3 linked regions of the Arabidopsis thaliana genome follow. The protein of the gene in region 1 binds, or shares a complex with, the protein of each later gene. Each region holds a gene or a part of one and is shown in the gene's direction. Other genes may lie near its edges.

Region 1 (3,752 bases):
GCCAATTGTGATTGGACGATAAATGGTTTTTTGTTTATATTTTGCTAATTAACTTATATAGTTTAGGTGACCATTTTTTATACTTTAGGTGAACATTTGAGAATTAAACTATTTATATCAAAGTAGCGGTAGATAAAAGTATTATCTGAGATGGTTTGTTAGTTGACATATATTGAATCTTTTCAACTTGGTATTTATTATCACCCTCTGTATTTAATTCACAAAATTTCTACTGTTAGCTTCATATAACCAACTTTTTCAATTTAAATTATTGTTTACAGTGAATGAGAAATACAAGTACAATGCAATATTTAGGAAATACACTTTTGAGAAGAAAAATAGAAACTCATTTTCTTTCCCTAATTAAAAACAATTTGTACCAGAGAAGTAAAAGATTATCGTTCTACCAAAACGAATTTGCAGGTTAAGGATTATTTATCATTTCCTCTTGTTTGACTTTGTTTGCATTAGTCAGACATAATTAATGGCTTGACCCTTAATTTAACATGTCCATGCACTAACTCATATGCAAATCCAACGATGTGAAATTTAAAACCTTTTTTTTATTCATTTTTAATCTTTGTAAAACGAACTTATATTATGTTTGAACAAATATTTTTTCATACGCAATCCTTAGATGGGGAAATTAATACCTTTGTAACAAAAAAAAAAAAAAAATGTTAAATCAACTAAGTATTGGGTGAGTCTTCTCAACGAAAACATCAATCAACACCGGCCTCATAAGTTGATTAAATTAACACATTTATTATAATCATCGTACATTGATTTGAATCAAAATTAATTGTTACGTTAATTAGTAATGCATCTAACTATCCCGTAGGAAAAGGCCATTATATTGGGATCCGCGGTCAACGGAGGTTCCACCCACGAGCACGGTCTTTATTTGTTTTTTCCTTTCTCAAATATATATACGGATGTATGATTTTTTGCTTTTGGGGTTAAACAAATATGAATTACTGTGCTTAGATCAGAAATAGACACTTTTATACAAATGATTATATGATTACTGTTCATAGCATAAGCTCCTATGAAAACAAATAATAATCGCAACAGCCGTTTAACCTAATCGAATGCTGAAAAGCCCTCAAAATAGTTCATCTAATCCATGAATCGATTTAACAGAAAAAGTTGAAAATTGTATGCATATGATATACTCAAGTATATTCCGAGTTTTGAGTTGTGTAATGCAAGGAGTCAAGGACCATAGTTTGTCGTTGAACACAACCACGCCAAGTTGTCCACCAAAACTGGAAACTAACTACCATGCCGTTGTTTCCATAGAAGCAAAACCATTAACCTTCCCATTATCCCGCATGGCCACATATATGTTTAATAATATTTCTCACCATACATTTAAGTCTCTCTCGTAGTCGTTATTTACATAGCCTACGTAGTTCATTCATATCATTTTTGTTTCTTTACCTTATATCAAACAAATTGGTTGTTGATTAGAAAAACATAAATTGGTTCATTAAATATCAAACTAACGCCATCAATCTATTGTTTTTTTATAAAAAAATGAAAGAGAAGAAAGTTTGTTGATATGAAACTTACACTTGCTTTGAGTTTTGATAGACAAACCAAAGCCTAACTAGTATTTCCTCTATTGGTACTTGAATTCTGAACTTTTTCACCTTCCCTTTCGAGGTGGTTTAACAGTATACCAGTTGAGATGTACCAACACCAAATTCTTATACTTTTTTTTCTTTTAACCTTGAATTCAGTATTTTAAACGAAACTATGGGAATGTGTTTGAGACGGATTTTCATTAAGGACAATGCAAATAATTATGAGATGCTCAGAATTGTTGTATATATCAAAAAGCCAACACCTATAGTTATATATATAACTTTCTTCGATTTAAAAACAATAAGTCGCTTTGGCCGAGTGGTTAAGGCGTGTGCCTGCTAAGTACATGGGCTCTGCCCGCGAGAGTTCGAATCTCTCAGGCGACGTTATCCTTTTCGTTTTTTCGTCTATTTTTAAACCGACTTACATAGACACTGCGTATAAGACAATTGATTCCTTTTTTTTGTTGTTAATCCTATCAACCCTAGAAAAGGCTTCACGCCCGATTTCTTTTTTCCCCAGAAAAAGGCTTCACTTCCGTTCGTTGTTCTTCATCGGTCTGCGCCGCCTCGCACATCGTTTCACCTTTCTCAGAATCTCTCTTCCCGTCGATTAGTTTCCTCAGAGGTTAGCTTCTTCGATTTCTCAGATTCAATTCTGCTTTTTGCTTTCCTCCTGTTGTTTTTAGGTTTTTGTCGATCTCTATGTTCAGCGATTCCTAAACCCTACTTGTTTTCCGCTCTATTGTAGTGAATCCAACCCAGATTTTTCAGATTTTAATCGGAATTATTCGGGATCTAATGCTCGCGTCGAGTTTATCGCTAGAAAACCCTAATTTCGGAGGATCTGTCACTTTTATTATCAGAAGCTTGTTGTTGTAATTACGGATTAGGTATGTCCTGATCGTTATTGTTCTTTGTTTGCAGGTTGCGATTTGTTGAAAACCTTGATTTAGACTATGAAGTCTCTTAATGATCTTCCTGCGCCCAAATCAACCACTACCACGTATTATGATCATTCTAATGATGCTTGGTTCAAAAACCGAGTCACTGAATCCGAGACGGTGAAATCCTCCAGTATCAAATTTAAAGTGGTGCCTGCTTACCTGAATCGTCAAGGTTTACGTCCGAAGAATCCAGAGGATTTTGGCGATGGTGGTGCTTTCCCGGAGATTCATCTTCCTCAGTATCCTCTTCTTATGGGTAAGAATAAATCCAATAAGCCTGGAGCTAAGACTCTCCCTGTTACTGTCGATGCTCAGGGAAACGTGGTCTTTGACGCTATAGTGAGGCAGAATGAGAACTCGAGGAAGATTGTTTATTCTCAGCATAAGGATATTATTCCAAAGTTTCTGAAAAACGAGGGAGACTTGGGTACTGTTGTTGATGAAGAGGAGGAATTGCAGAAGGAGATTCAGGAGACTGCTGAAGAAACGAAAGCTGCCATTGAGAAGATTGTGAATGTGAGACTGAGTGCAGCGCAGCCTAGTAATATAGCAAGGCAATCGGGAGATTCACAGTACATTAAATATAAGCCATCCCAGCAATCTTCTGCCTTCAATTCTGGTGCTAAAGAGAGGATCATTAGGATGGTGGAGATGCCTGTAGATCCACTTGATCCACCAAAGTTCAAGCACAAGAGAGTCCCAAGGGCTTCTGGTTCTCCGCCTGTTCCGGTCATGCATTCACCGCCCAGGCCTGTTACCGTCAAGGACCAGCAAGACTGGAAAATCCCTCCTTGTATCTCCAATTGGAAGAATCCGAAAGGTTACACAATCCCTCTTGACAAACGTCTAGCTGCTGATGGAAGGGGCCTACAAGACGTTCAGATCAATGATAACTTTGCCAAGTTATCAGAGGCCCTCTATGTAGCTGAGCAGAAAGCTAGAGAGGCTGTTTCAATGCGTTCCAAGGTGCAAAAAGAGATGGTGATGAAGGACAAGGAAAGGAAAGAGCAGGAATTGAGGGCTCTTGCCCAAAAAGCTCGCTCCGAAAGAACCGGTGCTGCTATGAGTATGCCTGTCTCATCTGACAGGGGTAGGAGTGAAAGTGTTGACCCAAGAGGTGATTATGACAACTATGACCAGGATAGAGGAAGGGAAAGAGAAAGGGAAGAGCCTCAAGAGACGAGGGAGGAGAGGGAAAAAAGGATTCAGAGAGAAA
Region 2 (3,752 bases), on another chromosome or scaffold:
TCAAATCACGTTTTATTAAAATAAAAGTTACGATTACCTGTTGCCATGGCAGTATATTACACAAGGTAGAGGCCTATCTTCAGGACGCTCAACTGGCATGTAATGACTACACTGAAGGATATCTCCTCTGATGTTTTTAACCTGTCACAATATAAGTTCTTCTATAGTCTTAGGTGAACAAAGCACAACTAAAACCTTGAGATCCTAAAGGCAGTCCAAGGCTGGAAAATAAGGAACTCACGCTGATCAACAGTGAACAACTGATGAAATCTACATTGACATTGAATCACAACATGTTTGCTTGGATTCTCTAGTCAGGAGTTCACAACAACAACAGAAGAAAAAAAGCTTTACCTCTAAATCTTTCCTCTGGTACCATCTCCCTTTAAGCAAGAACTCTTGTTCCAAGAGATCATGTTCTGGATTGTATTCAGCTCTACATCAAAACACCAGTTATATTCAACCGTAGATGAAACAAACTAATTAAAACAAATTGGATTTGAAAGAGGAACAGGGTTTTCTTGAGGAAATGCAACCCTAAATCCTAGTATATATTACTTCATCTATATAAAAATCCAAAATCAACTCAAGAACAAGAACCAAAATTTCAAAACTCAAATCTAAAAATCTAAACTTTGTGTGAAACCCAATTCTACAACCTAGTAAAGAGAAATAGAAAGATGAAACTGAAAACTAAATTCCAGAATCAGTAAGTAATTTTTTTCAATTTTCTGAGAGAATCATCACCTTGGAGGTCGAATGACGAAGTTAACAAGCTGCTCCATTAGAAAAAAATCAAACAAATCACCTTCTTCTTCTTCTCATTCTTCCATATTTCTCACAAATAGTCAAAAATCGAATAAAACCTAACCAACGAAAGAGATTCAGATAGAACAAGAAATGTAACTAAAAAAACCCTAAATCAAAAGATCGAGCTGTTCCAGAAGAAAGACAGTGAGATCGAAGAAAGAAAAACACAGAGAAAGAGAAGAAAATAAAGCAAAGTAATAGAAAAACGGCTTTTTCGTTGTTGAAGCCTGAAACTGTTTTTATATTTAAAAATATATAAACAAACTTTATAAATTAGCCCCACATTTTTGCCGCTTTTTACATTTAACGTCTTCACATTTCATTATGGAAATTAATTAATTGGTATTGTCATGTATAATCATTAATCATTATTACTAATTCCAAAGTTTTTTCAGTGAAAGCTGACATTGACCAAAGTCTCTTAAAAAATTTCGAAAAAAAACTCAAAAATTCAATTAAGGTTTTTTAGTGGAGATCGTGCACGTTAATTGTCGTTTATAGGCTATTGTTTTAATTATTTTAAAATATATACGAGGTAATTAAGAGATTAATTAAACTTAAACATATGAGGTTAATTATTACAAGTACTAATAAAGCTGTAATGTGGAGTTTGGAATTTTCGACAACAAAGTGCACATCTGGCACAGAGATTGTCACAGCACGAAAGATTTTTTTGTCGTTCTTGTAGGATTTGCTGGCACGTGTGGAATAGAAAACACACGAGTGAAACCATCGTCGGTCTTTGTAGCCCATTATTTATACTTCTATTGGGCTGGACTTAAGCCCATAAGTAAGCATCTCTGTTACAAGAAAACGGGAAACAGATCTGAACCGTTAATAATATTAGAAAGGATCTAGACCGTTGATTTATTTATCTGCTGACAGATTCGTACCTTCGCGAATATCAATACCAAACCAATAGAAATATTCGTTCGCTGTCTTCTTCCTCTTCCTCCTCTCAAATCGGCTACAGCCATTGGAAAAGCTAAAGCCTTTTCGTAATTTCTGGAAGTTTCTGCAGTCGGTTTTCACGGTTTCGTAGATTGAGGTGGATTTGTGATTCTGGGTCAGAAGTAAGATAGTGGAATATAAATTCATGGATTCGGATCAAGGAAAGCTTTTTGTCGGTGGTATTTCATGGGAAACTGATGAAGATAAGCTGAGAGAACATTTCACCAACTATGGAGAGGTTTCTCAGGCTATTGTGATGAGAGACAAGCTCACAGGTCGACCTAGGGGTTTTGGGTTCGTTATCTTCTCGGATCCTTCTGTTCTCGATAGGGTTCTTCAAGAGAAACACAGCATTGATACCAGAGAGGTTATTATTGTTCTCTTATAGCTCCATTTCTCTAATTGTGTTAAAGTTTTATCCTTTTTGCGTTTTGCTGTGTTGATTGAGAACGAGAGTAAATATAGAATTTTGTTTGGTTGGCAAATTCGCCTTAGTGTTTCTTAGATTCTAGGATTGGTTTTAACTTGTATAAGAGGTATTATAGGGTACTCGATATATGTTAATCGTACACTCTATGAAGTGATTGAGTATAGTATTAGAAAAGAGAGCTTGGTTTGGTTTATTAGGATAAGGAAAAACAGATGTATATATTTTCTGTTGCGTTATGTTCTCGATTTGGGTAAAGTATGATTCTTGGAAGTTTATTATGAGCTTTATTGATTTTGGTTAATGTTTAGGTTGATGTGAAGAGAGCCATGTCAAGAGAGGAGCAGCAAGTCTCTGGAAGAACTGGGAATCTTAATACATCTAGAAGTTCTGGAGGTGATGCTTACAATAAAACCAAGAAGATCTTTGTTGGAGGCTTGCCACCTACTTTGACTGATGAAGAGTTTCGCCAGTACTTTGAAGTTTATGGCCCTGTGACTGATGTTGCAATCATGTATGACCAGGCTACCAACCGTCCTCGTGGGTTTGGATTTGTTTCCTTCGACTCTGAAGATGCGGTAGACAGTGTTTTGCACAAGACTTTCCATGATTTGAGCGGTAAACAAGTTGAAGTAAAGCGTGCTCTTCCTAAAGATGCCAATCCTGGAGGTGGTGGACGATCAATGGGTGGTGGTGGCTCTGGTGGTTACCAGGGTTATGGTGGCAATGAAAGCAGTTATGATGGACGTATGGATTCCAATAGGTTTTTGCAGCATCAAAGTGTTGGAAATGGTTTACCATCTTATGGTTCTTCTGGTTATGGCGCTGGCTATGGAAATGGTAGTAATGGTGCCGGGTATGGTGCCTATGGAGGTTACACTGGTTCTGCTGGAGGTTATGGCGCTGGTGCTACTGCTGGATATGGAGCAACGAACATTCCAGGTGCTGGCTATGGAAGTAGTACTGGAGTTGCTCCGAGAAACTCATGGGACACTCCAGCTTCTAGTGGTTATGGGAACCCAGGCTATGGGAGTGGTGCTGCTCATAGTGGATATGGAGTTCCTGGTGCAGCTCCTCCTACGCAGTCACCATCTGGCTATAGTAACCAAGGCTACGGTTATGGAGGGTACAGTGGAAGTGATTCTGGTTATGGAAATCAAGCTGCATATGGTGTGGTTGGAGGGCGTCCTAGTGGTGGCGGTTCAAACAACCCTGGTAGTGGTGGCTACATGGGAGGTGGTTATGGTGATGGATCTTGGCGATCTGACCCGTCACAAGGTTATGGTGGTGGGTACAATGATGGTCAGGGTCGACAAGGCCAGTAGTGACTGTGTAAGGGGATTATGACCGCCCTGGTTTCTGGATCCTTGTCAAGAAGAATTTAGCTCAAATCAAAGGTTCCACAACTTCCTAACGGGTTGGACTGCTTGAATCTCTTTATAAGCATGTGCTATCTATTACAATAAGTCACTTCTATTAAGTTATTTTTCGGTTGAGTGTACTTTTGAGTTTTGGCAGAGTTATTATAACTACAGGCTTTGCTGTTTTCGTATTATGTTTGTCT
Region 3 (3,752 bases), on another chromosome or scaffold:
AAATCAAGATTTTCTTGATTTGAATTCCTTGCGATGAAACTCCTTCCGAATCCATCACTAACCTTGTTCCCTTTCTTCACTCCCTATACTTCAAAGCATATTTTCAGACCCATCAAAGTCTCCGTCTCCGTTCAAACTCCTCCGCCGGATTTCGATTTCCGCAACGACATCGCGTCGGAATCACGCGCCGCAATCGCGAAAACTTACCCGGAGTTGCTTGACCTCGCTGATAACGGGACTCTGATTCTTCTCCAGAAACAGAGTTTCGGTCCTGTTCCAGCTTGGCGCAAAGAGTTCGTTGAGCCGGAAGCGATTTGGCTTGTGGGCACTTCTCATATCTCGCCGGAATCTGCTTCCATCGTTGAACGCGTCGTCCGTACTGTGAAGCCTGATAATGTCGCCGTTGAACTCTGTCGTAGCAGGAAAGTCCAATTCTTTATCCAAACGAAATTCGGGTTTCGTGAAATTTGATGACTTTATTGCCAACTGATGAAATTGAATTAGCCATTGTGTTGTGTAACAAATTGCAGAGCTTGGTGTTGATGTTGCAGAGCTGGGATTATGTACACTTCAAGTGTTGGAGGAGAGGTTGACCAAAACTTAAAATCCGGAGAGTTGTCGTTGACCGGGACTGGCTTTCTCGGTGCTGTTGGCCGGAGTTTAGACTTGGGTATATAAACTAATCAAAGCTTTTTATTTACCATTGCTCGCTTTTGTACTTCAACGTTGATGAATGTGTGTGTTTGGGATGATCATAGGAGGGCAAACTGCGTTGGCATTGCGACTTCTATTGGCGGTTTTCTCTTCTAAGTTATCTTCTGTTGCTGACCGCCCTTTCGGGGATGAGGTACTTTTGAGAAAACCTCAAGAGTTAGTGTTTGTTTTTGGACATTCAGTCTCTTCTTGATTGCTATTTGTTGCAGTTTCGTGCTGCTCGGAAAGCATCTGAGGAAGTTGGTGCGCAGCTGGTTCTTGGAGATCGACCCATCGAAATAACTGTAATGACTATACCAAGTACCAACTGATCGTTTTTGTAGTTACATATGGGTTTAAAACCAATGGAATCTACATTGAACTTATAACATTGTAGCTCCAAAGGGCTTGGAACTCTTTGAAATGGGGAGAGAAGTTTAATCTGGTGATGGCTGTGACTCGGGTAATCACATCGTCATCGGGTATATCCGCAGCGGAGCTTAAGGTTTTGTTTCTCTTTCGCTAACTCGGTTTCGCTTTAATTCAAGAAGATGATAAGATAAGTTGTAACTTTTCGGTTTGTGTTTGCATTGCAACAGGAACAAGAGACCGATGAAAACAGTGGAAGTTTGCAGCTTTACGAACGGCTAAGTTTCTCATACCCGGCACTCCTAATGCCTCTTATACACGAAAGAGATACCGTAAGCATAAAAACCGAAACAAAGCGACACTCAAAAAAACCGTATGCTGATAAGACTTGACCAAATAATGTGTTTTTTTGCCTTGACAGTATCTTGCTTGGTCATTGAAGAGAAGTAAGGCAGTGAATGGGTGTAAAACAGTGGTGGGAGTGATCGGGAAAGGACACATGAATGGTGTCATCTACGCGTTGGTGTCAGACTCTGGGGATCTCCGGTTTAGAGATTTGGTGGGAAGAGGAGATTCATATAATGGTGGTACTGGTACTACATCGAACGGTTGGATTCAAAAGGTTTTAAAGAGCTTCGTAAGAGACACAATTATAGGGTTCTTGCTATGGGAGTTATATGAACAGTATCTGATGATGAATCAAAACCTTTCATGATATAACTAAAAAAACAAGTTGTTGCATATTTAAAAAGGAAACTGGAAAAAGAATCTAAATGAGTACAATATGTATGTATATGATTCTTCTTCCTCTAGATTTTGTTGAGGCAACTACAAAGTCTTATATGAAATTGATGTATATTTTGCAGAAATTTCAATTGTAAACATAAAATGTTTAGGTAAAAAATTATTTGTACTTCTCTAGTTGGTAACGAAATAAAAATAAAATATTTTTTTTTTTAATATATATATATATATATATATAAATATAAATATATGTTTAAGATTCATTATCTGGAGAGAGAGCCTCGAAGAAAGCAAATAAAATCTAGAGAAGCTTGTTTCTAGGGTTTCGACTCTCGACGGCCGGTACGATTTTTCAACTGCTTGTTCTAAGGTATAATCAAAATCGAGTTCTTCAGATATTGAATTCGATTCTCTCTTTGGTCTCTCTCTTCTCTTGTTCTTCAGATTTAAATTCGATAGCTTTTTCATTTTCTTCCGTTGAATTTTTCTTGTTTCATTAGGTCTGTTGAAATTGTAGTTTCTTCTTGCTTTGTTTTCTCATATGGTTGATTTTTTTTTTCCAGATCTGAGGTTTTTTTCATCATAGCTTGAAAAAATCCATACTTTCTGGGCTTCCTTTGTATAAATATGAAAACTTTAATGAAAATCTGTTGTGGTATGTTATGGGTTGTGACTTGTGATGAATTGAATTTTGAATATAGTTGTAAATTTGAAATCTTGAAGTATGAAATTTGCATTGGTTTGTTAATTTGTGATGAATTGGATTTTGATTATTACAGTTATAAAGTTGAAAACTTGGAAGTGTAGATGATTACATTTTTCTGTGGTTTGGTTCCTGTTATGTTCATTGTTCTATGATCTTAATTATATGTTTTGTTATTGCTTCTCTTCTGGAGTGTGTTTATTTGTATATTTTGGTCAAATCTGTGCTCTGTTTAGTATCTCTTGGATATCTTTTGATACTTAGGTTGTTGAGAGGAGCTATAAATCGTTTCTGTTGTCTATTTTGTAGGAATCATGAAGCCTGTCTTTTGCGGAAACTTTGAGTATGATGCTCGTGAGAGTGATCTTGAGCGGCTTTTCAGAAAGTACGGCAAGGTTGAGAGGGTTGATATGAAAGCTGGTAAGTCTTGGTTCTTGTTTTTCTTTATACTTTCTCTTAGTTTTTCTGTTTGGTTGAATTGAAATGGATAAAGAAGTCTCGTAAACCACTACCAATCCGATGAACAACAAGCGAAATTCAGTCAAATGCATTGTTCTTAAAATCCACTTACGTGCGTTCATTCCATGAGACTCTCTGGAGGACTGTCCTTTCAAAGTGTGCTCTCTAGCCTCTGCATCCCACATTCCGTATTCCCTCGGTTCGCTACCATCTGATTCCAACATCTGCCAAGGAACTTGAAGCACCCCGCATGAAGTTCATAGCATACCTCAGAAGAGAAAAGATCGAGTAATTTTAGGGTAAAACCGCCATACTCAACATTTGATTTTGGCGCAGGATTTGTTTCGATCTTGGGATGCCCATTCTCCCACACAGCCCATTGATGGACAATATGGAAAATCCATTTCCTGCCCAAAAGAGTCAACCTCATCCACGCAATGGCACTACGTTCCCATAACCCCGACTTTAGTTGCATTTCATTCCTCTTGACTTTTCTCCTCTTCGAGATGCACATGCCTCTTTGGTAGACTTATACCAACCTCTCACAGCAGAGGCAGCAAATCAAATGGAGTTTGCGCCACCACGTTTCTGTTCACAATTCCGTCTCATCTCCTCCTCATTTTCAGTTCTTCTTCTTTGACATATTAATTCCATAATGCAAGGTCTGTAAAACTACTTATAGTTTGTAGAGATTTTAGGTTCAAAACTTATTTGTCACAGTAAGTAGTAAAGGCTGTTTTGATACTGCCGTGGAAGGGAGAGTCTTCATATTAGAATTCCTCTT

Evidence for each region.
Region 2: SKIP (region 1) and AT4G14300 share a complex: the UniProt entries of both Arabidopsis thaliana proteins name them as parts of the spliceosome.
Region 3: SKIP (region 1) and RS41 share a complex: the UniProt entries of both Arabidopsis thaliana proteins name them as parts of the spliceosome.

The regions. Positions count from the first base shown.
Region 1 is NC_003070.9:29,000,429-29,004,180, reverse strand, and holds the start of SKIP (chromatin protein family), read left to right. Parts: upstream 1-2,045; 5' UTR 2,046-2,217; intron 2,218-2,340; exon of another isoform or gene 2,341-2,516; 5' UTR 2,517-2,548; coding exon 2,549-3,752. UniProt on the Arabidopsis thaliana protein: Splicing factor involved in post-transcriptional regulation of circadian clock and flowering time genes. Associates with the pre-mRNA of PRR7, PRR9, ELF3 and GI, and is necessary for the regulation of their alternative splicing and mRNA maturation.
Region 2 is NC_003075.7:8,229,273-8,233,024, forward strand, and holds the start of AT4G14300 (RNA-binding (RRM/RBD/RNP motifs) family protein), read left to right. Parts: upstream 1-1,729; 5' UTR 1,730-1,906; coding exon 1,907-2,128; intron 2,129-2,499; coding exon 2,500-3,513; 3' UTR 3,514-3,752. Other genes in the region: AT4G14290 (alpha/beta-Hydrolases superfamily protein), read right to left, coding at 38-141, 355-436, 748-785. UniProt on the Arabidopsis thaliana protein: Involved with pre-mRNA processing. Forms complexes (ribonucleosomes) with at least 20 other different hnRNP and heterogeneous nuclear RNA in the nucleus.
Region 3 is NC_003076.8:21,128,258-21,132,009, forward strand, and holds the start of RS41 (RNA-binding (RRM/RBD/RNP motifs) family protein), read left to right. Parts: upstream 1-2,062; 5' UTR 2,063-2,176; intron 2,177-2,787; coding exon of another isoform or gene 2,788-2,823; coding exon 2,824-2,929; coding exon of another isoform or gene 2,930-3,017; exon of another isoform or gene 3,018-3,080; coding exon of another isoform or gene 3,081-3,192; exon of another isoform or gene 3,193-3,236; coding exon of another isoform or gene 3,237-3,443; exon of another isoform or gene 3,444-3,533; coding exon of another isoform or gene 3,534-3,558; exon of another isoform or gene 3,559-3,623; coding exon of another isoform or gene 3,624-3,630; exon of another isoform or gene 3,631-3,752. Other genes in the region: AT5G52030 (TraB family protein), read left to right, coding at 34-455, 552-670, 759-847, 924-998, 1,091-1,198, 1,293-1,394, 1,484-1,777; AT5G52045 (uncharacterized protein), read right to left, coding at 2,788-3,017, 3,081-3,192, 3,237-3,443. UniProt on the Arabidopsis thaliana protein: Required for constitutive and alternative pre-mRNA splicing. Involved in primary miRNA processing and pri-miRNA biogenesis. Binds both intronless and intron-containing pri-miRNAs.